2 linked regions of the Lonchura striata genome follow. The protein of the gene in region 1 purifies or fractionates together with the protein of each later gene. This does not show direct contact. Links are inferred from orthologs where the notes say so. Each region holds a gene or a part of one and is shown on either strand. Other genes may lie near its edges.

The links.
Region 2: the proteins of APAF1 (region 1) and CYCS purify together in Homo sapiens (affinity purification with western blotting; 3 studies listed by BioGRID and IntAct, with this or other methods). This does not show direct contact. The link is inferred for Lonchura striata from reciprocal best matches to the Homo sapiens genes APAF1 and CYCS.

The regions. Positions count from the first base shown.
Region 1 is NC_134607.1:55,458,361-55,473,614, reverse strand, and holds the start of APAF1 (apoptotic protease-activating factor 1), read right to left. Parts: upstream 8,264-15,254; 5' UTR 8,204-8,263; intron 8,194-8,203; exon of another isoform or gene 8,066-8,193; intron 7,119-8,065; 5' UTR 7,115-7,118; coding exon 6,977-7,114; intron 6,712-6,976; coding exon 6,522-6,711; intron 5,274-6,521; coding exon 5,076-5,273; intron 4,097-5,075; coding exon 3,913-4,096; intron 1,000-3,912; coding exon 887-999; intron 365-886; coding exon 233-364; intron 1-232. Other genes in the region: IKBIP (inhibitor of nuclear factor kappa-B kinase-interacting protein), read left to right, coding at 10,384-10,577, 11,270-11,387, 12,244-13,068. UniProt on the Homo sapiens protein: Oligomeric Apaf-1 mediates the cytochrome c-dependent autocatalytic activation of pro-caspase-9 (Apaf-3), leading to the activation of caspase-3 and apoptosis. This activation requires ATP. Isoform 6 is less effective in inducing apoptosis.
Region 2 is NC_134603.1:124,385,294-124,400,463, forward strand, and holds CYCS (cytochrome c), read left to right. Parts: upstream 1-7,304; 5' UTR 7,305-7,439; intron 7,440-8,185; 5' UTR 8,186-8,193; coding exon 8,194-8,362; intron 8,363-8,507; coding exon 8,508-8,656; 3' UTR 8,657-9,738; downstream 9,739-15,170. UniProt on the Homo sapiens protein: Electron carrier protein. The oxidized form of the cytochrome c heme group can accept an electron from the heme group of the cytochrome c1 subunit of cytochrome reductase.

The sequences.
Region 1 (15,254 bases):
CACTTGCAAACTCCCCATATAATTGTGATGCTGAGAGAAAACATACTGAAGAAAACTACCCAAAAATCAACATGTCTGCTAAGCTTAAAAAAAAAAAACCAGAATATTTAACAAGCACTTGTATTTTACTTAACATATACAGTATTAAAGGATGTTCCCTTCTCTATTTTTAAATCGAACTACAGAATTAAAATTCAGTGGTAAATTGTACGACGAAGAGCAACTAGAGTACCTTTGCATTCTCTTACAAGAGCGTTAGCTTGTTCTGGAAGTTCTGATATTTTCATATTCACAAATAGGGATAAAATCTCCAGTCCTTTCTCATGTGCTAGTCCACTTTCCACATGAACCTCATATTTATTGCCTAGAAACAGAAACATGGAAAAAATTTCAATGAATGCAAAAAAACAAATTGAAATTCAAAATATTTTCCAAGTAGAATCTGGAGCAAAGCTTCATGACTTTTTGCAGTATTTTATAGGACTGAGAAGAGTATCAATTCTACTTATCAGAACCAGCTTGCATTTGAGATATATACACAGAAAAAAACAGACCATAAGCTAATACCCTAATACTTACAAATGCATTACAGGCATACTGGTGAACAGTGTAGAGATAATCTGTCTAACAGCACCAGCGTCACAGAGGTTAATTTCCTCTGTTGAGAATTACCGCACCCATCAATGTAAACACGCAACTTTCAGGATAACATACAACACTTATTGCACAGAGAACATTAAGTCTTTCGAAGCAGACTTCTAAAGCCTTGCCACTTGTGCACGGATTGATAGACAGATTCTATGAGACTATTTTGAAAGCTTACATGAACAAACTGCAGACACAGACACACAAAATCTGTGGTGCAGGAGAGGGAAGTGTTCCTTACCAGCCACAGCATCTGTTACACTCCTGTCCCTGCTCGTGATGAGCACCTGACATTGATTATCAAATGCTTTTAACACCCAGGAATCCCAAATGTCATCCAGGACCAAAAGAGACCTAGTGAGAGAATAAATACTTCAGATCAACTATTAATGCTAAAATAAAGTATTGCATTTTAATAAAGAAACTTTTCATAATTTACAAAGTATCACTGCATAATTTTTTTTACATTAGTATGCACAATATCTTAATAGTATGTCCACAGAATGGTAACAAAGCTGGCAGAGGGTCTGGAAAATGTCCTAAGAGGCATGGCTGAGGGAGCTGGGGTTGTTTCATCTGGAGAAAAGAAGGACTGGGGGGGGACCTCGTCAATCTTTATGACATGAAAGGAGGCTGTAGCCAGGTGGGAGTTGGTCTCTTTGCCATGTCTCAAGTGGAAGGATGAGAGGAAATGGCCTTAAATTGTACCAGGGCAGTTCAGATTAGATATTAGAAAAAATAATTTTCTGTGAAAGAGTGGTTAAGCACTGGAGTAAGTTGCCAAGGGAGGTGGTGGAATCATTGTCTCAAAGCATTCAAGAAGTGTCTGGATGTGGCACTTAGGGGATATGGCTGAAAGGTGATTTTGGTGGTGCTGGGTGGATGGCTGGACTTGATCTTGAAGGTCTCATCCAACCTTGGTGATTCTGTGATTAAATACTGTGCAAGAAGCTGAATGCAGTTACCTCTAAAAGGTATTTACCATTTATTATTTCATAGCCACAACTGAAATGCAAACAACATTTTCAGAAAAATTTCCATTAGTAGATGCCAGGAAAAACAGAATTATTTACTGGATTTAAGTAAATAGGTATCACAAATTAAGAAAAGAGTTGTATAAAACTAGGTAACTCTGACACAGGCTAGTGATAAGCTTTGTGGGAAAACATTCAAGTTTCCTTTTGACTCAAGAGTTTTCAATTTTGTTCTTGTATCTTTGGAAAGCTGTATGAGACTAACCCTCCTGTAAAGCAAGTCTCTTCTTACATAAATGACATTTCATACTGACTACATATTCCAGTTGTATGGCGAGCCACATTTGTAGGTTCCTACATGGACTCTCACCAGAATAATGTACAGTAGACTTCCCTACACCTGCCTATATGTGACAGAGAAGTTACTGAAAATTGTTTTTAAAACATTGAGTTTAAGGGAGCAAGAAGTCAAAAAGACTAGCTGGCAAGCAGATATATGGAAAGAAAGAAAGTTTTGGCTATTGACACCTAATCCTATAAATCGTTTACATTTACTATGCTTGTTTTTTAAGGGATGGAATTTTCCACTCCACTAGTTACTGGTTAAGTTCTCCAATTCTCACTGAAGCACAACAAAACTTCCGCATTTTTGTTCAGCTAAGTGGCGCTTACACCATTGAAACCTATAAATAGAGATTTGATCTTCCTTAAAGAAGTTCATACATATCAGACCACATTCTCAAAGATATATTTAAGTCTTGGATACCCCTATCTCATTTTTATACAACACTTCTATTAATAACCTTTTGATAAATCAGAGGGTTCACAAGAATACTATTATAGCCATAAAGGGCTCGTTTTGTGGCACTTTCATGGTTGAAAAGATGATGAGTGACATGAATTATAGCCCGACTGTTGTTTTTAATTAATCTGAGCACTTCAAAGTCCTTCCATGCATTAGGCACCAGTGATTTTTCTCCTCCAGTCACACCAAAAAATCTAAATTCTAATAATATTTAAAAAATCCTTGTTACAAAGAAGAACCAAAACAAACAAAAACACATCCCAAAGCAACAAACAAAACCCTGTGATAACAATCACAGGTGATTAAATTCTGTAATTTCATATTTTAAAGTATACCATAGTTTCCATTTTTCATTTGACTAATAATTTAATCCCAAGAAACATACTGGCTTCAAAATTTGAATCCTTTGTCTAAGACTTTATGCCCAAGAGATGTACTGGGTTGGTTGTGTGAATCCAGGTATAGCTAAAGTGACTTTTTGCTGGCAAAGAGAACTCCAGAGCAGAGCCATCTTCCTCCCAAGCTGTATCGAATCTTTGTTTCCCATACACTTGCACCCTCTATGATCCTTACTAACCAAGCACATTCCTCTCTATTTCCTCCCATTCCACCCACTTCTGTATTGAAGAGTTTTGACTTCTTTTGTTTGTTAATAAACAAGAAATAACAATGGAAATGTGTCAGTGGAGACAGCTACTTTATTATCCTTCAAGGAAAAGTGCATGTTCAGCTGATAGATTTCTTTTGGAGGACCTGTCAATATTTCCCACATCTTTTCTTCAAACGAAAGATCTTTTTTCCCCCTGTACAGAAATGCCAGTATTCTACTCTGTTATCTATAAAGATCACAAAGTTGGCCTATTATTCCCAAGATAACTCATTGACAAGCAGGCTCATTTAGTTTAGTACAGATCTTCCCAGAGAATAATTAAATCCTCAGCAAATAACAAAAACTATTTCTCAAAGGTGAAAAAAGCTGTGCAATGACTGAGAAAGCTGTGCAATGACTGAGAAAGACAATGGTTTCTGGCAATAATTGGTCACCTGCTTTCACTTTGGCACCTCTAGACCAAACACTTTCTAAAGACACGATCTGTTCTGGAAATTAAGAATTTTCTGCAGTGATACACACTCTTTTTTCTGCCGTATGATCCTCACATATCAGTAAAGCAGTCTACACACACAGTGAGAACACTGAAAATTAGAGAAATCCTTATTTCCAGTTGTTTGTTCCCATCTTTCACTATTCAATCTCATCTTTCATTATTTCAGTATTCGCTTTTTCAAACAAATATGACTCCTGCACAGCTGGTTAACATATTTTGTTGCTAGAAGTCTTATTAACCTAAGCTAGGAAGTTGGATAAAAAAACAAAATACACACCACTGACACATGTAACAAAACCACAGATACCTCAGATGATTAGACCAAAGTTACTCTGCAAAGTTTTATAAGTAAAAGAAAAGTATTTGATTTTAGTGATATCACCTGGGGTATTTGCGTAACATCAGCAAACGAAGACGATCTTTAGCCTCCTCAATGTTAAGTGGTGGCCTTTGTGAAAGAGTGGAGTCATGTTCCAATCTACTACAGAGATTCTGAAGTTTTATGAGCAGCCCTGCTTTGTCCTGTTTCCCAACAGAGATCCAGTGAACTCCTCCTGGAAAGTAATCTAACAAGAAAAGCAATATTAATCATGCCATACATTTTAAATAATTTAAAATATTTTATAGCAACTTACAGCAGTAAGTCAGCATTAATTGAAACACAAATCTCTAAAATCTGTTGCAAGCCATCCTTGCAACTCTGCTATTAACACACAAGGGTGGTTCTACAAGACCACTCCTGTTTATTTTTAAAAGGAACAGACTCTGTAAGACAAGTACCCACAGAAATTTCACACCATCACTGATGCTGTTGTCCCTCCTTTCTACACGTCTTCCTTCCTGTCCCTCCACAGCCCCTTCTGCATCCATCTTTCTGCTCGTCTGACCTACCATTTACATTTTTAACCATGTAGTACTGCAAGAGTTCAGAGCCTGGGGTATGACAGTGATCAAGAAGATACCTAGATGAGTCAGCTGTAGCAGAGGATGCTATAGTATCTAACCCTACATCGTTTTTTCTTTAATGCCAAGTCCTACTTTCTCCTCCTAGTGTCCTATGCAAGGAAAAATAAATAAAATAGAAAAAATGCCATTAAATGTTTGTATCTATGATCTACTTTAAGCTAAGGCAATACTAATCACCCACAAATGTCTGCTACTATTAAAAAGTTTTTTAAACTCATATAGCAAGGAGTCAGAGGACCTTATAAGCAATGCCCAAAAGGAATATAACTGGATATATTATTTTGCACTAAAAGAAATAAAGATTTTAAGGTAATCAAGGATGCACGTACTCTCATAAACCACAGCAGATTCTAAGGTGAAAAGCTATTCAAAACCTTTTTCTACAAACTAATAGAACACTTAGTGGTCCTAGACCACCACATGGTTATGGAAGTTGTATATTGCAAGCAAACATTTCAGAATCACCTAAGAAATTAAGAAATCCAAATCACTTTCAAGGTGACATATGCACCATTCATGTCCAATATGTGTAAATCTACAGTGATTTTTATAAAAATACAGATGCTTTTCTGAAAGTACCTTCCAAGAGCTGAGGATCCCTTAAAGCTTCTGCTGTTAAAACAGTCTTCCCACAGCCTGCCATTCCATAAACTGTGACCCAACCTGGATCACTTCCCAAGCAGTACAGTTTCTTTTTAATAGCATCTACCAGTTTTGGTCGAGTGACAAAAACAACCGGTCTCTGTGGTACGCCTCCTTCGCAGAGAATGGTCTTCACTAAAGTTAAGAACAAGAAACATCAAAATAAAACATGAGTTCTAAATGAGATGCCTCTTCATACTCAACCAAACAACTCGTCATCCAAAATAACTAGTGGGCTTCCTCCCCACCTCATGTCCTATAAAAATGCCCTAAAATATGCTGGACTACAAATAACAAATAACAAAAAAATACTGCTTTTTAGAAATAAAAATACTTAGCATGTAACTAGCTCCCTACCTAAAGCAGTGTTCAAATTAATAACTGCATTGGGAAAGCTTATTACATTAATCCCTAGAAGTGAAGAGAGAATTAATATCTCCCATGGAAAATGTGGCAAACACAGGAGGTCAACATTACTATACCAAACAATCAAGTCACTTTCTCAGCCAGAGGTCAGCACACCGTGGATGCAGCAAAAAAGAAAGGATGCTGTGTAGGGCCTTTCCTTGGCAGTTCACAGCACAGCACTGGGGTCCAAGCAAGACTTCCACTGCTTTAAGCTGAGATAGCATGACTTGAAAGAGGTAAAGCATAACAGAAAAGGAAACGTGCACTTCATCTGCCCACTTTGTGGCTATATGAAGTGACATAACTGATAAACTTTGATTATCTAAGATAGCCTTGAACTCCACATGCCTTTGACACTTACTACATGCAGAGTGCCAGTAAATATGGCAGTTAGTCATATGCAGTTAGAAGGTTCTGCCCATTAGAAACTACAAATTTATTTCATGTCGAAGATGATCCTGATGACAATGCGGGTAAAAGTTATGGAACTTATACAAGGTAACTAAAAGATCTGATGGAAAGAATTAAGTAACCTAATAACTAGATCAATTAATCAATGATCAACTAGATCAATGTAGGTTGAGAGATTCCAGATTACTCTTCAAAATAAATATCAGAATTTTGGAGGCTACAAGTTTTTATTTTAATAGATACAAATGAAAGTCTGTCTTTCACTTACAACAAAAATTTTACAAATTAGAGAAAATAATAAGAGCATCAGTTCTTCTACCTTTTAAAATCAGCATTATTCAATATGAACACTTTCAAGGTGAGCTATAAAAATAGTAACTGTTGTAATTCTCCTGCCATATTAAGCAGAAGAAATAGACATAGTTACTATACTACCAAAATAAACAAATGCACCAACTGCTCCTTTTTCATTGGAACAGGTATTACACATAGCCACTTTCTAAGGATTAAAAAAGACAACTTTTGTTCACACTCCAGCACAGGGATTGCTGTAGTTACACTGACCGTAGGAAGTCATTCCATCCATTGAACTTTTTCTGTTACCAGACGAGACGGCAGGGATGCCGTCCTGAAGAAGTGCAGCAAGATCTCTGTACCCTTCGTGGAGCAGTGCATTATAAAAGGATCTATATGAATTATTATCCTTTGTAAGAATAATGTTTATTAGCATAGCTGCTCGCTCCTTCCGTGTATTCTAGAAAAAAAAAAATTAGAAGAGGTATTACAAAACTAAGAAACTCCAAAAATAATTTAATCTATCACTTTGTAAATTATAGACTATTTATAGTTACAGAAATAGTCTTTAATTTACCAAGCCCTTAACTTTATTGAGCAACAAAAACTGTGTGCTAGAATTCGATAAATACAGGAATTAGATAGTCAGAAATTACTATTTTTAAAAGGATGGTAAAATATGTGAGTAGATTAGGGAAAGAAATAGCAGTGAGAGATAATTCTACCTGTTGCTTCACTCTCTCCTCCTCCTGTAATGTCAATACTTCATCAGAAATCATACGATCCATAATATAAGAAGTCTTGATGTCATTTTCCAGTGCTTGACGATTCATAAGTAAATAGTTTCTACTCTTGACATCCATATTTCTTCAGAGTGAAAAAGAGTGGGGGAAAGTAAAGTCAGACTGGGAACATAACTTACAAGCATGAGGAAATAAGTTTTAGAACAGCTTATAAATTTTGGTGTTAAAATCAGAAGGAGTAGCAAAGCACTAATTCTGAAAATACACATTTTTTTTTCCCATTCCTATGAATTTATGTTTATGAACACTTTCAGAACTACAAAACCAAAGACTACAAGCTTCTCATATACTAGCATCTTGCTAAATGTCTCTATTCAAAGGTCTTCTCCCCACTCACTACATCCCCCATTTTTTTTTAAGTCCTTGGATTATGTGATTGGGTCAACAGGATGAGAAAGAGGACTGGCCTCATTGCACGGGATAAACGCATTGTTGTCTCCAAGTTCAAGGACACTTGGCTCCTGACATGATGGAAGAGGGAGCACCAACACTGCCATTGACTGCGCTGTACCTTCCTTTATCAGCATTTGCACACGCAACTTCAAACTTGCATTCTCCCTCCATATCATAAAAAACCAAATGTCTGAAGAAAACAGGTGAAAACTATTGACTACGGCATAAAGAACTGATCAGCGCCTCCGAGAGTCCCAATCGACCAAAACGCTCTCTCTGATGACACTCCTGCCAGGAAAGCTCCATAAACAAGTCGAAGCTTCACACAGAGCACACACAGAAGCGTTGGCCTTTTCCGGCACCCTCTCCTTCAGGAGCTGGGCAGACGCAGAGCAGCTGCCTTTGGGTAAGCCCGTGATGGAGAGCCCCTTCCGCCGTGCTGACAGAATTTCCTATAGTCACTAAAAATTACGTAGTTAAGAAAGCCTTGCACACTACCTTCATCCCACCGCACAGCGGAGGAAAGGGGACGCTAAACAGATAACAATACTGCTACAAGCGAGGCAAATACAGAAGAAATCGCTCCACAAACACACCCAAAACAAAGGGTTAACTCACAGCGTGCTGCTGTTGCCAGCCGCCAACCAAATGGAGACCGAGGCGCTCAGACCGCCCGCCCGCCGGCCCCTGCCCTGCCCCGGCGGAACCCTCGCGGTCCGGTGCGGTCCGTCCCTGCGCGTCCAGCACGGCGCTCACCTGGCGGGCAGCGGGGAGCCCCGGCAGCCGCCGAGCCCCGAGCCCCGCCGGCCCCGAGCCCCGCCGAGCCCCGAGCCCCGCCGGCCCCGAGCCCCGCCGAGCCCCGAGGCGCAGCCGCTACCCCGCGGCTCCCGGGCAGGCGGCGCCGGCAGCGCTTCCTCCTTCCGGGCCTGGGCGGGGAAGGGCCGGCCCGGCCCGCTCGGTGCCCGGCCCGCTCGGTGCCCGGCCCGCTCGGCGCTCACCGCCGCCGAACAAAGCCCCGCGCCGCCGAGCCCGGCCGTGCTGCCGGGATCGCCGCCCGCGGCGGGCGGGCCCGGACGTGGCGCAGCGGGCGGCGTGCGGCAGCCGCGGCCAGGGGAGGGGCCCGGGCCTGCAAACGTGGTGCCTGCGGGGCAGGGCGGCCCCGCCCGCCGCTGGGGCCGGAGGAGCGCGGCGGGTACGGGGCGGCGGCCGCAGGGAGGGGAGAGCGGAGGTCGGCGCTGCCGGGGCTGGGGAATCCTGCACGGCGGGCTCGGGCTTGCCGGGGGCCCCGGGCGCGGAGGGGATGTGGATCACTATGGGGGAGAAGAGGAGATGTGGGTCACTCTGGGGGGAGCGGAGGGGGTGTGGGTCACTCTGGGGGGAGCGGAGGGGGTGTGGGTCACTTTAGGGGAAGAAGAGGGGATGTGGGTCACTCTGGGGGGAGCGGAGGGGATGTGGGTCACTTTGGGGGAAGAAGAGGAGATGTGGGTCACTTTGGGGGAAGAAGAGGGGATGTGGGTCACTCTGGGGGCAGCGGACCGGTCCGGAAGGGTCTCTGGGGAGCTGCGGCTCATCCCTCTCTGCCGCACCGGGCTGCGCGCAGAAGCTGTCCTTTAAAAGCAGAGCTTTTCTCTCTTAAACTCTTTTTCTAACTATTATTCAGAGCTCTCTTTTTTCCCTCCATTTTAACTTAATAATATATTCTCTCCAACCCCAAGATGTTTTAAAAGCTTCAAAATACAATTTTTCCGTTTTGGTGGCTTCTTTTGTTTGGTTTTTGTTTTGGTTGCGTTTTTTTTGGTTTTGTTTTGGGGTTTTTTGTGTGTTTGTTTTTTTGTTTTTTGGGGGTTTTTTGTTTGGTTTGGGGTTTTTTTGTGTGTGTGTTTTGTGTTTTGTTTGGGGGTTCTTTTGGTGGATTTTTTTTTTGGAAATGAAAAACTTTTTTCTCCATGCTTCAAGCTCAGAGTGTACTTCCTAGTACTGTGGCTCAAACAGCTCTAAACTACCTGCATGACAGATTGGATTTTAAACAATACCTTTTACCCCTGTACATGACTATGTAAGTATCTCCAAATATTTCTATTTTGATATGTGACTAAGCAGCAATGCTGCTAAGTGATCCAAAACCCCAGCAGAACAATTTGGTCTCAAATTAGGCTAAAGCAACTCTGACAAGGATCAAGTCTATTTTGAGGAGTATGGTGGGAGATTTTAGGCTTAAAAACTACACTCTGTACTTCACTTGGATGGTTAAAATATGAGCTGGAGATTCATATTGCCTCAGTCTATTCTGATCTTAATTTTATCAACAGGAAGTTTTTCTGTTTTCTAGAGGAATGATTTAATGAATCTTCTGAACTTTTTTATCATGACTTTTTGTTAACTGATGTTTGTGATTTTACAGATGACATGAAATCATTACAGCAGAGCTACTAAATTAAAGCTTGATTTGCAATTTTATTTTTTAAATTGAAAAATTAACTTTCCCCTTTTAGTGTGGTGTAGATGATAATTCTTTTTTAAATCTACAGGTAAAACACAAGTACATCAGTGAAATTGCTGATGAACTTGTGACAGTCATCAGCTACAAAAAGAAATATACTTTTAATCCTTGTAATTTTAAATCTATGTTTAAAACAACTTATTCTATAACAGACAAAATATTTCTGGAAACATGAAGTTAGATTAAGCTTGGAAAGTCAATTCAGCTGGAGAAAATATGATAGCAATGCTCTGTAATATAGAAAGCAAGTGAAAGTATGATACTTTACTAGGAAGCATAGTGAACAGCAAAAGAAACATTTTTGGAGGTGTATTTATGTACTTACAGTTTATGTTTGAGGATGTTTAAAACGTAAGAAGTTAAAAACAAGTCCTTTCTCTTGTTTGTTTTTTTTTTCCTAGCTTTCTCCTTTGCTTCTGCTTTTTAAAACCACAAAATGTCTGAAGTTAAGACAAGGAAAAAAGGTATTTCTTCATCCAAGACCAATGAAGATTCACAGAAGGCTGAGAAGCACAGTAATTATGGGAAGCTGGCAAGTCCCAGGACCAGCAATAATCACAGTTCCTTTTGGATGGACTCAAGGACAAGCTTGAGTGTCGTTTCCCTTGCTGTTTGCCTGGTGGTGAGCTGGTAGGTAACCCTCTCTAAAGAGGATTTTAGTATTTTCTTTTGTATTCTGTGGGGTGTGTGATTTTCATGTTAGCAGAGAGCTTGAGCTAAGTGTCTACAGAAACATGTTAGAGCCAGAAGGATCCAGGAAAGAGTAGCAGTATTTACAAGCAGGGAAACATGGGCGTGCAGTGAGTTACTGTAGAAGCTCCATCTGTTACATGAGGTTGAAGGTGCCTTGCTCAGGAATTCTAAAGACCTGCTTTGGAGACTGCATCTTCCTGGAGAGCGACTTAGGCTGACAGGAAGTGCTCGTTGAGCAGGCAGTAAATGGACAGAAGAAGTGAAATAGAGTTTTCTTTAAATCATTTCCTCATCAGTGTAATAAACCGTTCATCAGGTGGAGTCCTTAAGTAAAGGTCAAATGCCTTTGTTAAAGATGTTTTAAAATATCTTAGCAGCATCAGTGCCTTAGTTACCCTAGCATGCAGTGTAAAAGCAAAGACATCTATCAATGCTTCCTTGCTGTCATACCTTTTGTAGAAGTATCAAGACAGATCAATTTGTTTTTCTTTTTTTGCCATATATTGATCTAGCAAATTTTGTGAAAACAAATCCCTCCAGTAACAATTTGCTCTGAATCAGGTCCTGAAATACTTAATATATACTAATTAAGAAGTTACGTTTTCTGTTTATTTGCTTGAAATTTCCAGGTTTCTATTTCAGCAGTCAGGTCAATTTTCTGATCTGGAAAGAAAGTACAATTTTTTACATCAAGAAGCTGAAAAAATCCTGGATGTGGGAAATAAAGTAAACTTAATTTCTGAAAAGGTAATAATTAACATCTCAATTGGATGATCTTTTGTGAACATTTGTCATTGCTTACTTCACTGTTATTTCATTAATTTAACTGCCTGTTTTAAAACAAGTTTTCAGAATGTGTTTTACTTGCCTGTGAATAGGCATTTAGAGACTATTTCATGTGACAAAGCATGTCAATCCATGCCATTGTTCCAGTAGGTTGTATCTCAGTATAATTTTTTAGAAACTAAAGTATTTTTAAGAACTTACATATATGCATGTTTCATTTACCATTCCTCTTTCATGTGCAATTCTTAGGTACATTGATTTGAAGAAAATGTACCGGCATTTTGATGTAGCAGACCTGTTCTAATAATATGAAGACATAATAAAGTGATAGATAAGAAAATACTATAGTAATGAAAAAAGATATTACCACGTGTGACATTATCCAGTAGAAAAGATGTGCTGGCTGCTGAATTATCCCTGATACATTATGAATAATGATGGAAGCATGGCATGGCTCATGCCAGTGATTTTATTTCAGCACTGATCTCTGAATTATGTCATTCATATATTATGTAATTTGGATATTTATATACTACAGATTTCAAAGTGTTGCATGGGATTTACTGTATTTTTGACAAAAAAAAACAAGCATGGAAAATTGCATATATGCTATAGAAGTTCAACAACAGACATACTTTTTCATGCTAGGTTAATCAATGATATTTTAAAGAGGAACCATGGAAACACACCATGGAGGAACTTTGTAACAAGTACAGTGGTTTTTAAGGGACTTTATTATCTCTTAATAAATGGAAATGGTTTTCTGTTGTTACTTTTGTTAAGTAGACACAGACATTGTTTTGTGTTGTAAATGCAGCTTGAGTCTTCTGAAAGTATCCTGCGAGAAGCTGCCTCATCCATCTCTGTGATGACTGAGTTTGGGCAGGAAATATCTTCTCTTCATAACACCATAAATGATATTCAGAACAATGAACAGACTCTATCTCTAAAGATGCAGAGAATTAATGAGAAGTTCCAAAATGTTACAAATCCCTGGAGAAGAAGTCTGGATGAAATGAACACAAATGCTAGTGGTTTAAAATCTGAAGCAAAGTTCATTCATACAGAAGTTACTTCCAAAATTAATGAAGTTGACCAAAGAATTAAATCCCTTGCAGAAAGAGTAAGAGATTTGGAAGACAGTACAGCCAGAAATATCAGAACACTAAAAAAGCAAGAAGATGATGAATTTTCTAGAGTTGAACAAAAGTTGAACTTGGATGCAAAGTCAGTTGAAAAGATAGAAGAAGAACAGAATAGTCTGGTAGCCAAGGACACAGACCTGAATCAGAAACTTGCAAACTATGAACCTAAAATTGAGGAGTGCAAGAGCCATTTGCCAACAATTGAAAATGCTATTCACTCCATTCTTAGGTTGTCAAGTGAATTGCTTGGTATGGAGAAAAAGATAGAGGACTTGAAGACACAGCTGTACGCTGTGGAAAATGACATGCTGAAAACTGTTTCTGATACAGTGGTGATGCAGAAGGCTCTTGAAGGCCTCCAGTCCAATGGCAGCTTGTTCAAAGTGCTGCATGAGCTAGCTGTTCTAGAAGCAGGGCCTGACATAGCAGTATCTTCAAAAGCAGAAGTAACTTTAGAAAGCTTTAACTTCGAAAATGACCAGAATGGGGATAAGTGAATTTGGTCTTAGTCTTTTCATTGATGAAAAAGCACTTTTTTATAAATAATGTGATTTAAACCTATATCAAAGATCACTGATGTACTGTCACTGATCTAAAGATCATTGGAACAGCTTGAAAGGTGGAGAAAGAGGGTAGTGAGCAAGGAAGTAACACTTTGTTAAAGAAGGAAAGTAATATTTTCTTAAATTAAGGATTATTTGCAGTTTTTTTATTAAAAACAATTTGAAGCCAGGTATTTAGATTTAAGGGGGGGAAAGTTAATATTTTTAGTTTGTATTTAGTTTTCACTACCTAGTTTCTTTTGTTGTTACTTTGTGTATTTTTTTCCATAGACTTGTAACACAGTGAACTGATGATTTGTGTTTTCAGAGGTCACCTTGGAAAGTCACGTGGCACCTTCTTGTAATTTTTTGTTGCAATAGAAGAAGTACTAACATTTATTAAGTATACTGACAAGAAAAAAAAAAATCTGGTTGTGTTATAACAGAAATTGATTTCCTAGAGACAGGTTTTGCACTCAAATTGAATGTCAGAATAGTAAGGTATTTCATTAAAGTATAGCTTGAATTTTGACATTGAGTTCTTAAGCTAGAAATATTTTTGTATCCCTCTAGTGTGAAAAGACTTGGAACTTAATGAAACAACTGGAAGATCTTCAAATAATTTCTCACATTAAATATCTGCAGGAAGATATTTATACAATGAAAACATGGTCTAGCAGCATAATTAAAAAACAAGAAGAACTGGAGAAGAATTTAACAAGCCTTTTTCATGCAGTTTCAAGCGCTGAACAGGATGCAGCTTCTGTAGCAAAAAACATAACATTGACAATTGTGACAGTAAAAACTGACATAAGGCGCATTTCAGGCCTGGTCTCAGACATGACTGCACTGACAGATTCTTTGCAAACATTAGAAGATAAAGTAGAAAAAGGTGAAAAGGCAACAGTAAAAAATATAGGTGACCTCCTTACCAGTAGCATCGACCGAAGTACGAAAATACAAAGCCTGGCATCCAGTAACGCAAGAAAAATTGAGCAAATTAAGACATCACTGTCTGAGTTAAAGAGCAATTTTGACAAGCATTCTGATAGACTTTTGAATCTTGAAGGTGACAGAGCAAAAGTTCTGAAGACAGTTGCATTTGCAAATGATTTGAAACCTAAGATGTACAGAGTTAAAAAGGAGTTTGCCATCTTGGAGCCCTTAATAAATGACCTAACACTGAGAATAGGAAGATTAGTGGAGGAAGTTTTGCAACGGCAGAAAGAAATTGCTTTACTGAATGAGAAATTGGCCAATCTAACAAGAGTTCAAACTGAGATTAAGGATGTGAAAGATGAAATAACTAAGATTTCAGATATTAATTGATCACTGAAAGGCAATTGCCTAAAGAATAATGTTTGAGGAGTGTGAACTCCCATCATGTGTAGTACTGAGAAGGCAGGCAATATTTAAATGCTTCATTTAGAAGCACACCTAAACCTGAAATTTGTCCTATTCTTTTGAACAGGACAGGAAAAAGTCATACTTATTTCAAGGGAGAAATAATAATGTGAACAAAAAATGTACCTCTCTGCATGTATTTTTCTTTCTGAAGAATGAGAGATGCTATATTTAATAAATTGGTTTTTTTGTATAATAAAGCAGTGTTAAAGTACAGAATTAAGTTCTTAGTTTTAGAGTTTGCTTTCACAAAGAAAGCAGGACCCAAGAATGACAGATCTCCAGTTTCACTTTCCTGCTGCAAAGGAAGGAATAGGATTGTGGTTTCCAGCTGAACAAAAGGTAGTCCAACAGCAATAGCACTTTGTCTCTATTTACTCTATGATTTTTGTAAACCAGTTTCTTTTTAAAATAATACTTAACAAGGTAAATGCAGTGAAGCAAGAAATCCTCAGAAATATTGCTGATGCTTCCAGAAAGTTTGTCATACATTCAGATGGAATAATTTGTGTAAGGCTTTGTGTGAGGCTTTATAATTGTAAATCAAAATTACTGCGCAGCACTGTTCTGTCTTTAAAACAGAACACTCTATAGGGACAATGCTCTGAAAGATGTAATAATGCTGCTGATGGCTTTATCCCCAAAGTGTCTGTTCAGAAATCCTAACAGTGTTAGTCATTCATTATTTCTTAGTCTGTAAAATACTAAAGTGAGCAGCAGAATTAGTAGAGAAGCTA
Region 2 (15,170 bases), on another chromosome or scaffold:
GTCTGATGTAAAAAGAAGCAATGAAGCTGGGCTATTAAAATCTGATTCCAAAAATACCAGCCAGGGGATTACTTGGTGACCAAACTCATGAAAATTTGACACAATAAAAAAGCATAGTAAAACAAGCATAAGATTCTTACAGGGAGGAAATCCACCTCTCCACTGACAGAAACACCCCATATGTTCTACCACCTGCAGGAGTGACTTCCTTTCTAGGAAGAAGACAATCCATGAACATGTTTTCTCAGGTCTTGGTCAGGCTTCACATTCAACAGCTTCTCCTGATGCTGTACACAGAGGCCTTGTAGCTCTGTAGAGAACTGGGTTTACGCTTAGAAGACTTAAGCCTGCCAAAGCACACCAGTTCAATTTCTGTCAGAGTGGAGAGAAATTTGCCAGTTTATGGCCTCATCTCTATTTTATAAAGGTTTCTCCTTTGAAAATTCTAAGGTAAGCAAGGCTTTTATTTTTAAGACCCACATGTGACTCTTGGGACCATACTAGTGCTCGTATTTCAAGCAAGGTTCTCCTGTCTGGCCTATACCTTAGACACAAGAACTGCATAGGCTTTAATAGATTACATTAAATTAGCACATCATCATTACATAAGGAGACCCAACCATACAAATCTCCTTACAAAAGGACTCTTAATTTTAAGCTTTTCTTGGGGCTAAGCTGATGCTTTAGAGACTGTTGCCCTTCTGATGTTTACATATTTCTACTAGCCTTCTCACACACTGTTCATGTAAATAATAGTTTTACATTATTCTTTGTGAAAAAATAAAATTGATAAGCTATTAGTTTAACCAGTGCAGTTAGAGTAAGTAGCAATTTTATCCTCCAATCCACTATCACTTTTAGAATCCTATATATTACAAAGTCAAAAATAAAAGTTGCTTCCTTTCAGTCTTTTAATCTTAGTGTGAGTGTGTGAGTTATTTCATGTCATAATACAACAGGAGACTAATTTCAGAATATCTGAATTTAGGCTGTTGCAGAAGTACTTCTCACTCTACAGCTTGGATTATTCAGAAGACTACATGCCAGCTGATCATGTAAGTGAGAGGACAGTAATCCTTGGCTCCCACAGATACACAAAGAAAATGTGCTATCAATGTAATTAATTTTCATCCCCTCCAAATAGAATACGTCACCAATTCTTCCAACTGTTTGATTCATTACAAAGAAAAAAAAATATGGAAAATGGGGTAGTTTTGACCAACTACTTGCCATCCAAAAGTTGAAATTGAGGCCAGTAGAAATTACTGTTATCACAGCATGTTTTTTGTCAGATGCAATCAGACAGTGATCAAGGACATTTATTATACCTCTATTAATTTAAAATTTGCAGTAAACTGTGGCAGACTCCACAATAGCATGACACTAAAGTTAAACACATAATGGACTTGATAAAAGAATATCCTTTCATTTGCCTTTCAGTTCTTGAAGCCTTAAAGTTAATTTTGAAGTTCTTTTTCAAAATAAACACTTATGTCTTTAAGAAAAGCTGAACTTCTGGAAAATTGCTGGGGTCCTGAATCTTTCAAATGTCCTTCTTGGTTAACTTAATTAACTTTGTCCTTGAACTTTAAAAAAATTTTTTTTTTTTTTTCTTTTCTAAATTGCTATCTTGAATCACCTCTCTTTTAAACCCACTTTCACTATGGGAAATGGATTATAAGGATTCAGAATGATTTTTCTGATAGTAAACCAGAAGCTGATGCAGTCCCATCCTAGGACAAGTCTTGCATTCAGTCCTTTCTTGCTATTCCGTGCCTCATGCAAATTACCCCAACTTCATGCACTAACATTTTATACTTGCTACTCCTCTGTACTCATTCAAACAAGATGCCTCTGTTATGTCCTTTGTTTTAAACCATCATCTTATTACAGAGAAGTTGTATCCCACACATGCTATTTTGAGGTCCAAGGTTATTTTTCTGTGAGCCCACAGATAAGAAGGCATCTATCAGTCTGCAGGCAGCTACTGAGGCAAGTGCTTGAGCAGGGCAACCCTGTGTCTCCACACAGTCAAGGCAGGTCTTGAGTCAATGTTCTCAGTTTAAGGTCTGTGTTTGTTTTAAGCTGACAAAGAGTGACTCTGAACCCTGGATCTCCTTATCTACCCAGCTCCCCACAGGCCAGATGAAAGACAGAGACTTCTACCTACCCCAGTTCTGGGGACACTTTATCATACAATAAATGGCTGCTGAATAAATCTTCATGCCTGAGGCTTAGAACCACAGCATCACAGAATGGTAAAAGTACTTTGCTATTTTCACACCTGTTAAACTCATCAGAAAATTTATCACTTGGTAAGCCATGGCATTATAATGGTTGTGCAATTGATTCAGCTGGGAGAGCTTGGCAATCTCCTAGCTTCCCACTCTGCTTTCTACTCTGTCTGAATTGGCTGCTGTCTCTACCTGTGCCTTCTGTAATTTTTTTCACAGCTCATTTAGATGCTGAGCAGCATTGCCTCACCCTGTGCCTAAGTAGAAACTACAACATCCTGGCTAGGCAATTCTCATTACTTGGCACTTAAGAGACATTCTTATGTCCCTTGGTGCCAAGTAGTTGCTTTCACAGTTTCACAAAACTCACTCTCCAAAAACACAGCAACAGCAGAAAGAATCCCAAGTTCGGCCTTCCTCTGTCAAGATCAAATCTTTCAACTGCCACTCTATACATTGGCTGTGGAAAATATTTTTATGTCCCACTCCCAAATAATTTGTCTTTATAAGATAGTAATGAGACAGTACACCAGCAGTTCTTTTAAATACGGTAATAGTTTTTTCCTTTTCAATAATGGCAATTAAGTATTTAATGCAATCCAGGTACTCAAGTCAATGTAACACTTGTCATTAAAAAAAACCCCACAACATTGTCAGAGACAACTTCACAAAGAATAAATACACTGCCACAAGAAATTACAAAAATCAGTCCTTAAAATAAAACCAAGAATTGTTTGGTAAAATATTACACAAAACTAGATGCTAAGCCAATATTTAGCTTTTCTTAAGAAGGAATTCAGTCACCTTTAGGAACTGTAGCATCTCAGAGACTGCCCTTGCAACTGTTTAAAGCAGTAGCAAAATTGGCTTATCTGTCTGAGACTGTGTAAAATACAACAACCAGCAGAGATTAGAGGCACACCATTCATCAGACATTTTTATTTCCTTTTGAGTCTCTAACGCTTTTCAACTTTGTTCCCTGCCTGTTTGGGTGAACAGGTTCCTTCTTCCCCCAGAATAGCCTGTAAAAGGCATAATAAACGCAAAGCCAGCAGTATATTCCAAGTGACAGGATTTGTACCATAAAAGTGTTGAAAAGTAACCCTAAACCCTAAAGTTTGCCACTGTGGAATATTCCTTTCTGAAGGATACTAGCATAAAAAACTTTTCAAGCACAGCCCAGAATAACTCTTTCATCTTTATAAACTGAGCTTTGAAAAACCCAAGAAGAGATATGCCTTTCTCCCAAACAATTCCAAAGGCAAAGATAAAATCAGAAGAAAGAAACAAAAAAAAAACCCACAGGTTTTCTGAATTGTTTCAATACAATTAGAAATCATAACAGTGCATGTTAGTCAGTACTACTTTGTGATGGGGTAAGATTTATGATTCAGGTCATAACTCCAATGCTTTCTTAAAACCAGCTCAACACCACAATGACTCCAGCTCAAATCGTACACTCCCCAATGCTGGCGCAGTTTGCTGATAATCAACAACAGCTCAGGGATGTCCCACTTCCACATGGCAAAGGGATGAAAACAGGCCAAGGTACTCAAACTGCATAGGGATGAGGTGATGATTTCCACAAGAAATGGGTTCTAAGTTATTTGTCAAAGACTGAACCAGAAGTTTAGCACAGAGTTGAGGGAAAAAAAAAAATCACATATTCTCCTGAGTTCCAGTCTAGGTCCATAATGCAGGGCTATGTTTTTTCTTTTATTTGCAATGTCCCTCTTAAAGAGATCTGGATGCCTCTTTTAACATGTTTTGTTTATTATTGGACTTGACACATTTGGTTACACACATAATTCTAATTGCAAAATAACAGTAGTTCCAGTGTGTAATGGCCTGAGCTAGGAAAAAGTATTCCAGGTGTAACCACAGTGAACAACTGAAAAGACTAAAATATGAGCCTTCTAGGCAAACCACACCAATGCAATTAGTCTACTGAATGTTAATGTATGTAAAGTATAGAGCACTGAAATTGCACCCTGAGTCATTTTCATTTACTCCAGCAATTCAAACCCACAAAGACAGAAAAGTCCTGCCTTCGTCTTCAGTGTTGCCTCTGGAAGCCCCACACCATACTCTGCCCTATGCAGGAAGCCAGATGCAGGATTTCACCTATATTTCACAAATATCTGCAGCGTATGTTGGAGATGCCACATTTAGAAGGGAAGCCAAAAATTTCACTATTAATCTGCCCTATGACAGAACATTTCAAAAAGTAAGCACTGGGCACCTTGAACAGCACCCTTTCTTACACCTTCTACTTTACTTACAGATCAGTTCTTACCATGGTGTTGCCTCAGATCCAACCTTAGTAATGCCCAAATGGGCTCAAACAGATATGAGAAATTCACTCCATTTGAGATACCTCTTTTTATTGTGAAAACACATCCCCTAACCTACTATCTTGTTGTATCAGACAGCATCTCTGCTTCCACTAATAATACAGTATGGGAATGCACTAATATTCTGTTTGTATCATTTACACCTTCAAGAAAGCGTATTATATCATGACTGCTGGCAGCTAGTCACAGAGCAGACATCTGCATGGTCCGGTCTGAGGCTGAGAAAATAAGAGTTCATTTTACAGACTGATTTTAGCATGCTAATCTTTAACACTGGAAAGCTCAAATGTTGAGTATTTTCCCCGAAAGCATTATTTCCTTACTTCAGAAGTTTAATAAAAAGCAATCCGGTTACCTTGAATTAAGCTGGAGTTTTCAAGAACAGCTTCTTGGAAAAAAACTGAATAAATATTGCTACACTTTTCCTCCCCATCAGAAGGGTTAACTGTGAAACACAACATGAAGTTCTCAGAATGGAGCATACATATTTAAAAGGCAAAATGCAATAGAAATAAAAAGAGCTACAGATGCCTGAAGTTTGTGTTCTGTGAAGAAAGGGAGAACCTCTGAATAGATGTCAGCACGCATCAGTCCACAAGTGCTTAAAGAGGCTTAAGAATTTACACTGGTGCAATTTCTTAGAGCAGCTTAAAAGGTGCTTTCAGCTCCCTTCTTCTTTAGAGATAGAAGAGACATGGTTTTATCACAGATCTTGTGATACTAAGTTACATCCGGCCCTTGGAATCATCTAAGGTAGAGAAGCCTTACTAAATTAAACTCAGTCCTTGCAATCATGATAAGTCTAAAAACAAGAGTGAAAGGCACCGTGAAGGTTCAAAACCACACAGCAAATGAAAGAAACAGAGGATGCCTTTAGTTTTTAAAATAATATTTTTCCAGTCAACCTCATAATTATGGGAATCTGACATGATTTGAGATTTGAGTTGTGCAACAACAGCAGAATTCAACGTCCTGATTTAAAGTGGTTTCCTTGCACATATTTCCTCACTCTTCATGAAGTACATGAATTTATCTGTATATCATAATCAAAACAGTTTTACTGTGGCTAGCGAACTGTCAATCAGATTACAGCATAAATTGCTAAAAGTTTAAGAATGTGTATTTTGTATATACTTTGTGATGAAGTGTTAAAAAATGCACAAAACCTGTGTCTTATGCTCTAGACACCGTGAGCTTTGGAAGGCAATGCACTGTCTAAACTAGGGAGTGATGATTTCTGAATGGTCTTGTGAATTATCTACAAAAATTCTGCCATCAGAGAAACCCCTGATGTATTTTTACAGTCCTCATTCCTTTCTGCTTCATGTTAACACTTCACATGAGCCCTGCCCCATGGGCAGTTCGAGGGGCACACCCATACCAGTTCCAGGACAACATAAAAGCACACACAGAAAATAAAATGTTTTTCCAATGTCAGACAGTGAAAAATTCTGACAGTTTTAATGTCCATAGTAAAGCAAACAGTTCAACTCTTTTGAACACTGGACATTACTACACTGGGCTTTTCCAACAGCTCTTCCTCCTTGCCGAGGAGGGTGAGATGGCAGGCATGTCTGGAATTCACCATTAAAATTCTGCTTGGAAGGCCACAATGTGTGAATATTGACATGTCCTCTTGGAGCACTCCCACACTGCTGGGCTGGCATTTGGGACGCTTTCATGCCTTCAGGCGGCAGTCCCCTCCACAGGGCTCTCGCCTGTGTCAGAGCGGCGCGGCCGCAGCCGGCACGGCCGGAGGGTCAGCCGCTGCCCTCAGCCCATGGCCGCGCCGTGCCGGCAGCGCCCCGCCGCGCTCTCCGGGGCGACTTCGCCTCACTTCGGCTACGGCAGCGCTTCCGCACCACTATTCCCTTGGCTCCTCTGGGAAAGCTTTTGAAACTCAGGGACAAGCTGGTGAAGGGTCTGGAGCACATGCCCTGTGAGGAGCAGCTAAATGAGCTGTGGGTGTTTGGCCTGGAGAAAAGGAAATTCAGGGGACACCTTATCCGCTCTACAACTCCCTGAAAGGAAGCTGTAGCCAGGTGAGGGTCGGCCTCTCCCAGGCAACCAGTGACAGGAGGAGAGAATACAGTCATAAACTGCACCAGGGGAGGTTCAGGCTGGGCATCAGGAAGAATTTCTTCCCAGAAAGGGTGGTTAGACATTAGAGTGGGCTGCGGAGGGAGGGAGTGGAGCCGCTGTCCTTGGAGGTGTTTAAGAGTGGACATGGCACTCAGTGCCATAGTCTGAAGGACACGGCGGAGTTCATTCCATAGAACGGACTCGAGGACGGAGGTGTTTCCTGCCCGCACCGACGCTGTAATTCCGTCACGGCGCCTTTTGCGGCCGCCCTCACGGCCCGACCGCCCCCGGCCGAGCCGGCCCCGGGCGCGGCTCCGGCTGCGTCACTGCTCGGGCCCCGCCCACCGCCCGGCCGCGCGCTCAGGGCGCCGCGCGACCCTTGCTTCCATTGGCGCTGTGCGCATGCGCTCACAGCACTCGCGCCCCTCTGCTGCGCGCCCCCTCCGCCGCAGATGACGTCTGACGTCACTGGCCGGGATTGGAGGGAAGAGGGGCAGGAAGGAAGGAAGTGCGGGGGCCCGCCGGTCTCAACCTACCCCACTAGCCGCCGGCGCCGTGACGTCAGCTGATTGCAGCCAATCAGAACTCCAGCGGCCGGCGCCTGATTGGTTGTCGCGGCGGAGAGGCGGGCGGTGCGCCGCGGGGTTGGTTGCGGCGGTGCCGGGTTACTTAGGGCGGAGTCCGCGTGTCCTTGGGCGCAGACGGAGCGGGAGGTGCCGGCGGCGCGGTCACGGTGTCTGAGGGCGCAGCGGGCCAGCCGGGCGGGCAGGTGCGGCCGGGCCCCGCGGGGTGGCGGCGGCTGGCGGGGACATGGGGCGAGCGGGCCGTGCGCTCGGCCGCCCTGAGGCCATTCCCTCCTGCCGCGGCCTGAGGCGGCGGCGGGGTGCGGCGGAAGGTCACCGTGGGGCCGGGCGGCCCACCGCGGGTGCGGGCCTGAGGAAAGCTCAGGGCCGGGCTGGGCGCGGGCAGAGCCGGGGCCAGGCGGGGCGGGCGCCCTTGGGCGCTCCCGCTGCTGACGCGTGGCTGCCGGCCGGACCCCTGGGGTCATCCCGGGCCGTGGTGACAGCCGGGCGCCCTCCCGCCCTCCCGGGTGCGTGGCTGGTGCGCTTTTTCAGCTGAGAGGAAAAGCCTGTCAGGTGTCCTGTGCTTTTACACGTGGTCGTTCGCGACTAGGGAATTCCAGTTACTGTTGTACAAGTTGCGTTAAATTTGTTCCTCAGAAATTGTCGCCGTACCCTTTAAATGCTGTGGGGCAATTAGTTTGTATGAGGGAAGGTTTTTCCCGCCCTTCAAGTGTGTTTATCACCTTGATACCTTTTAGGTCGTCTCGTGGGTTCATACTGATTTTCAAGCCCAGGAGCTGTGGCTTGAGGATAGACAGTGTGCTGGAGAATTGCCAGATTCATGTGCTGCTTATGTTGGTTTTGTAAACCTACGGGATGCTTTTTAAAAGTTTCAGCTCAGTCGGTGACCTTGAGGTTGCAATACTGACCTCTGTGTGTGTTCTTGGTCTAGTACTGACAATGGGAGACGTTGAGAAGGGCAAGAAGATCTTTGTTCAGAAATGCTCCCAGTGCCACACGGTTGAAAAGGGAGGCAAGCATAAGACTGGGCCCAACTTGAATGGCCTATTCGGACGCAAGACTGGGCAAGCTGAAGGTTTCTCTTACACGGATGCTAATAAGAACAAAGGTAAACTTAAAGCTGTCCTTAGGGGACAAAATTACTCAGTTCTTGGTGGTAATTTTAAAAATTTGCCAAAAATTGAGCAGAGGACAAGAATATATGTGTTTACTATTTTGAATTTATTAACTCTTCTCTTTTTACCTTCTTTCAGGTATCACCTGGGGTGAGGATACTCTGATGGAGTATTTGGAAAATCCAAAGAAGTATATTCCTGGAACAAAGATGATTTTTGCGGGTATTAAGAAGAAGGGCGAGAGAGCAGACTTAATAGCATACCTCAAAGTTGCCACTGCAAAGTAAAAGTTATCTGCTGCCTTATTTATTTCACAAAGGAGATGGCAATGGAAATGTCTGTGATGAGATTGGTTTTTAAACTTTCTATTTTTACATGTACTGTGTCTAACCTTAAAATCTGTCTCACCCATCAGATGACTTTGCTCACGGTGGGTCACTGGAGTACACACTTGTTTGGCAGCCATTAACTTAACAAAGACTATGTAATTGGGTACAGTCATCCTTGATCATAAAGATTAAAAGAAAATAAATAAACATTTCCTGCCTCTTCATTGTTTTAAAAAATATGTAAATAATCAAATGAGTAATCATTAACAGTGTAATAACTTTTGACAGCTCAACTCCTGAAGATCAAAAAGCAGGGTGCTTTTTGGCATCTTCTGCCATACATCTTCTGTTACATTAACAACAAAGGCTATTAAAAAACCCAATCCCAGTATAATATTTTTCTAAATTTAATCAGTGCTAGGTGTTGCAATATGTATTAATCTATCTAAAGCTTGTGATAAAAATGCATTTCATCTGATTTAAGTACTATTTGTGAACTGCCAGTTGTGCCCAGCCACTTGTCTTTTATCTAGGGGAAGCATGTTACCTAATTTATCCAGACTTTGACAGCTGCATGCACCCATATAATTCCCCTTCAGAAACATTTCCAGTTTTGATGTGTTATTGATGCCCTTTGCTCAGTAAATCTTCTGATAACAGCCATTCTTAGTGTAAGAGAAAGCATCCTCTTCTGGGAATACGTGTGCTAGTGGCCAAGCTGAGAGTTATTTAATCTTCTTAATTCAGCAGAAACATTCACCTAGAATTCATTGTTATTGAAAGTTTCAGATTAAGGGATACGGGAATGATTGTGCTGGTAGACTAAAACACAAAATCAAGCAGTCTTCCTCTGTGCCTGGCTGTAGCCACCATCATTACTTCTGAAGGTTCTGTTTCGCACATTGTAAAGCAGTATTTTTAATGTTTTATCTGCATTTTTTTCATACTAAGTTGTTCAGAAGAATGTATTTACTGTGTACCAACAGTAAGGCATAATTTGGAGCAATCAATACTGTAAATTAAAAAAAAAATTAAAAGTCTTGCTTGCTGTATGTGTATGAAATTAAGTGGAAAAACAGTGGGAATGCAGAGTAAAGTTTGGTGCCCAGATTTACATCATTAGGAAACAAGACAAAAAAAAATACACGTGGAAAAAGGTCAATTCTAATTAAATTGGTGGGGGCAGTATAAGTGTGGCAAAGTTAGTATTTTGGACCAGAGCCAGCAAAGCTCTTCAGGGATATGCTGTCTAACAGCATTTTTTGCTGTGTTTCCAGAGTGAGATGGTAGATGACTCAAGGTAACTCAAAAGCTGTAGCTGTGCTGTAGGATAAGGCTGCATTTGATTTGTGTGGAGTAATGTACTTAATAATGGAATGGCAAAGGGCTTTACTCAGTACATGAGTGAAAAGAACTAAGATTACTAACAGTGGTCTCAGTGATTGCTACCATATGTGTTGTGATTAGTTTTTTTTTCTGGTCTAACCTGCAAACAGCATTTCTTGCAGTTTTGGATACACTATTAAACAACAGGTGTTTTTTACTAAAATCTTGTTAACAGAAAACTTCACATTGTAGTATTACTGTTTCAAGTTTTATAAGTGCTGTTTGTCATAGCACTTTCATGGCTATGCAGAACTGAGGTTTTTTCCATGCCAAAATCCTGACAGAGCAGTTGTAGATACAGAGTGTAACTGTACCCAGTTCTGCAATCTTCCAGGATGATGAAGGTGAAGAGAGTTGTGACACTTTGTTCTGTTAGCACCTTTAGGAAAGAAGACTGGTCTCCAAGCAGCTCCTTACAATTTGTTTCTTCTCTATATAAATTAGGGAAGAGGATTTTTCAGTAAAGCCTGGTAATTCTGCACAGATAAGCATTTGCAACAAGTAAGTTACCCATCATCAGAAAAACTTGAGGAAGCCGATATCCTTTGCCCAAAGTAAGCAGAGGATGGCTCTTCTATTTGTGCAAAGACAAATATTACTTCTACATAACACTGAAGGCTGAGAAAATTTAATTGTAGATGAAGCTTGCATCCTTGATAATATTTTAGGGAAAAGACCTTTAAAATTTCATCTTTCTAGGTATACAGCCCTAGACTGCAATAGCTTAAAAGTTTTGTAGTAGGTAACTAGCAGCCATTTGCCACTGGAGAAGCAATACTATGGTGTTTTTACTAAAGGATAAGAAAGCAAGGCTTATTGGAAGGAGGTTAGATTATCACTTGAGGTAAGTGTTAATGCAAGGGGCCTTGGGTGGTTCTTTGCAGGGTGGGAAGGAGACATCATGATCGGTTACATAATCAAACTTCAGTTCTTCTTTTCTAAGTTTATATTACAGAGTAGAGGGGTGGGGTTTGCCTTTGTTTCATGAAGTATTTAGTGTAGTGGTTTCCAGTCTGACAGTGATACCAGTCTAGACACTTGGTATTTCAGTAGGTCCTTTACAGTTACCAATTAGGGAATCAGTACCACTGCCAAACATAGCACCATCCTGTAAAAATTGTGCTTGGCTACTAGTTCGCAGCTTTGCTGGGGCATACCTTTGAAACTGATACTGTCATATTTTCATGTGTAGTTACGTAAATGAATGAAGATTGTTAATGACTGGAAAAAAGATGTAATCCAAAAGTACACCTTTTCATAGCACGACTTCCAAATAAGTAGGATACTTACAAAGCTAAAAAACGTACTAGTTGTACATCCAATTGACATTTAGTAATACAGAACTTGTCATGTGTATTTAGAGTCTTAACAATTCAAGTGTAACCACTCTACCACCAGTTTGGGCAAGTTCAATTTGTTGCTGCCTGTACAATTGTAAATAATTGCTTCAGATAAAGATCTTCATTTTAGTAGATTTAGTCTTGTATGGGATTTTGTAATACTTTCCTTTTTTATATATAAAATATAGCATCAGTTTCTAAAAGAAATGTGGTACACTATCCTCTTCCTGTTCAGGGGGGAGAACAAAACCAGCTAATAGGTAATAATTAGATACTCTAGTCCCTCACATACATCAAAGCCCGTTGAAATGCACACGTTTACCTCTATAGTAAGCCTTGTCATTTGTCTTTATCCAAACCACGTTCTGAAATCTCATCCAGGGCTAAAGGCAACAGAAGTCTGTTTTACTACGTAGAGGATGAGTTGAACCATTTCAAACTGATGCCCTGAAAACCAGATTATTCTGGGAGGTGAGCAGCCCAGAGCTAGCAGTAGGACATGTTAACCGTGGGAAAGAGTATGAAATCCTGCCCCTTCCCAGTGCTGCGAATGCTGAATCAGGACTCCAGGTAGCTGTCACTCTGCTCATGATTTAGAGCTTGCATGTGAGTACTTGCATGTTTTTTTCTAGGATTGTTCTTTTGATCTGAAATACAGAAAATATGATGGTCACCTTTTGAATATTTGCTTTCTGCTTAGAAGTCAGTGTCACAGGAGGTAAAAGAAGTGGGTGGTGTTTGCTTCTGTAACACCATTCAGATTCACATCCTCAGTTTCCAGAAGGCTGCCATAACCAACAGACTGAACCTGTGTGCTGGGAAGAAGATGCTCTGTGCCTCTGTTGAAGCTGTCATTATGCAAAAGGAAAGCCAAAAATAAAATTAGCAAAAGAGGAACTAGCTATAACAAAGTGTTCAAAATACATACCTGGGAGCAGGGGAGGTGTGCTCTCTCTAGGTTATTTATGCATTTAATTTTAAAGAGCCTTGGATAAAAATAAACCTGTCAGTGGAGATCAGAAGTCATTAACTCTGCTGGTTTTACATCTCATTAAAGCTGTTCAGTGCAGCTTGCTTATGCAATGTGAGCCACAGCTTCTTTTCCTTTCAGAATCACCCACTCTCCAGATCCATCTTCCCTTTCCTCTATGTGTTAAAGCATATTTTTGTGTGTAAGTCTGTGCTGTCCCTGTCTTACCCACTGCCAGTCTTCTGGTCATAAGCACTCAAATGAAAAGCAGAAATACCAAGCTGTATTTTCACCCTTAGAATAATTCACAGAAATTGACTTCTGGTGGCCCCATTCAGTTACAAGTGTCTGGTGACAATTTCTTGTTAAGATGTTTCATAGTTCTTAAGATATGGGACATTGCCTTTTATTGGTGTTTTTTAATTCTAAATTTTTAAGAGCTAACGAAAGCAGGTAGTTTTGTGTGGCTTTTACCTTCACTTTGCCTCAGGGTTTATTTTTTTACTATGAGATACAACATGATTATATGAGCATTCCCTGATGTATAGGGATAAGAAGAAAGATGCACACACACTGCATTTTAAAAATATGGTTGTCACCTATGTGGAACCAGTACCCTCAATAATCTGGTGCTCTTAGCCAGATTTCATTGCAGGAGTGCTCCTACATTGACTGTAACCAGCCTTTCCCTGGCAGTATGTATCATATTTCTACTTTTACTGTTGATTTTTTTGTTTGGAGAACAGAGAGGAAAGGAAATCAGACTTCTCCATACCTTGCCATGTTTCCTATAAGACTTTGTAATTTTATTTCCAGTTATTTAGTCCATTTATTTGCTATTGATCACAGAATCACTGAATCATTTCAGCTGAAAAAGACCTCCAAGATTATCAGGTCCAACCAGTGACCAGCCACCACCTTGCCAGCTGGGCACTAAGTGCAAACAATGTCCAGTTATTCTTGAACACCTCCAGGAATGGTGAATATCACTTCCCTGGGCAGTCCATTCCAGTGCTTAACAACCCTTTCCTTAAATAAATTCATCCTGATGTCCAACCTGAACCTCCCCTGGAACAGCTTGAGGCTGTGTCCCCCTGTTTCTTCTTGTATGGGAAAAGAGGCTCACTTGGTTACAACCTCCTTTCAGGCAGTTGTAGAGAATGATAAGGTCTCCACTGAGCCTGCTTTTCTCCAGGCTGAATACTCCCAACCCCAGGTCCCTCAGATTTCCTTGCAGGACTTGTTCTCTTCACCAGACCCTTCACCAGCTTTGTTGCCCTTCTCTGGACTTGCTCCAGCGCCTCAATGTTTTTCCTGTAGTGAGAGGGCCCAGAGGTGGACACAGGACTTGTGGTACAGCTTCACCAGTGCCAATTAGAGGGACAATTCCTCTGAATATTAGATATTAGGTCTATATTCCTTCCAGGGGTATTTTTAAAGGAAAGGTACCACAGTTTCGATTCCACAAATTTTTGCCATAGTGAATAATTTTAATTCTCATGTACAAATTGTCGCTGGTCGCTGGTTAGCTTGCCCATTTGGTCTTGCTCTTTTTCATTTCACATTACTGTTACTGTATATACATTTATACTTACATATATAGTACTGTTACTATATATACATTTAATGTATGAACTGCATGTAGCTTCTTGTATGTTACTATGCAAATTTAGTCTTTATTTAGACATCTCTTATCTCTGCAGTGGACTCTAAAAATGTACGTCTCTAATGTGGACTCTAAAGGTAAAGACTACTTGAAGAATCCTTCTACATGGTTTCAATATTTTTTTGCTTTTAATTCACTAAAAAAGTTTCAGTTTCAACTGGATGCCTAAGAAAATCTTTTCTTGTCATCCTCAGAAACATGCTTCCAAATAACAAGGATGGAAATGCTGAGCAATGTCTTTAATTGGCTGCACTTGATCAGTTTCTTGCTTGCGCTCAATGAACAGGAGAGGGAGCCAATGTCCAAAAAAGCTGCAGGAGAGTTGTATCACGCTCTTGAAGGTAATGCTGTAAAAACCTCAGTTTGAAAGACAAATTTCATTTGTACACATAGCAGTTTTAATGCAAGTGCTCAGCAAAAAAAAAACACTGGAGACGATTATCCAGCTGAATACAGTGATATGTCTGCAATAAGTCTGTGGTATTCTGAAGTCTTAAACCTATTAATGTTTTATATTTCATCAGGTGTGCTCAAATTTGAAATAGTCTGCATTAAATTTCAGCCTATTAAAATGGTAAAAGATTCAGCTAGAAAGCAAAATGTTTCTTTCTGACTGGTCGAAAGATTCTTAAATCTAAGGTGGCAATCTCTAATGCATATTCTGGCATTGCTTCTTCTCTGGAGCTCACTTTGATGTCATCAGTTGAAGTATTAATCTTGAAACAGATATACAGGTAATATAGTTTCTCCACTAGCTGTTAGGCAGAAACATTGTTAGCAGAAATGCACTTTTATGTCTGTTTTTAATACTGCTTTATGGATAGTGCTTGGTGTTAGTCTCAAATTACCCTGAAAACCGTGTTGTATCAAAATACTAGCATTGATTCTATATAGGATCCTAGGAAAACTAAGATTTTACTTAGCAGGGATATTTCTTAAGAGGATATCAATGTTAATGTAACTATCAGTATGGATTTTCTGGCACATGCCTGATCATGAAGTCTTTGCAACTCTTCAAAAGATCATGCTGCCTTTTGTCCATGGTTCATGGTCAATGTGTATGTTACAAGTTAAGCTTGTTTTGCAGTGCCTAACTCTACCAGGAGCAGT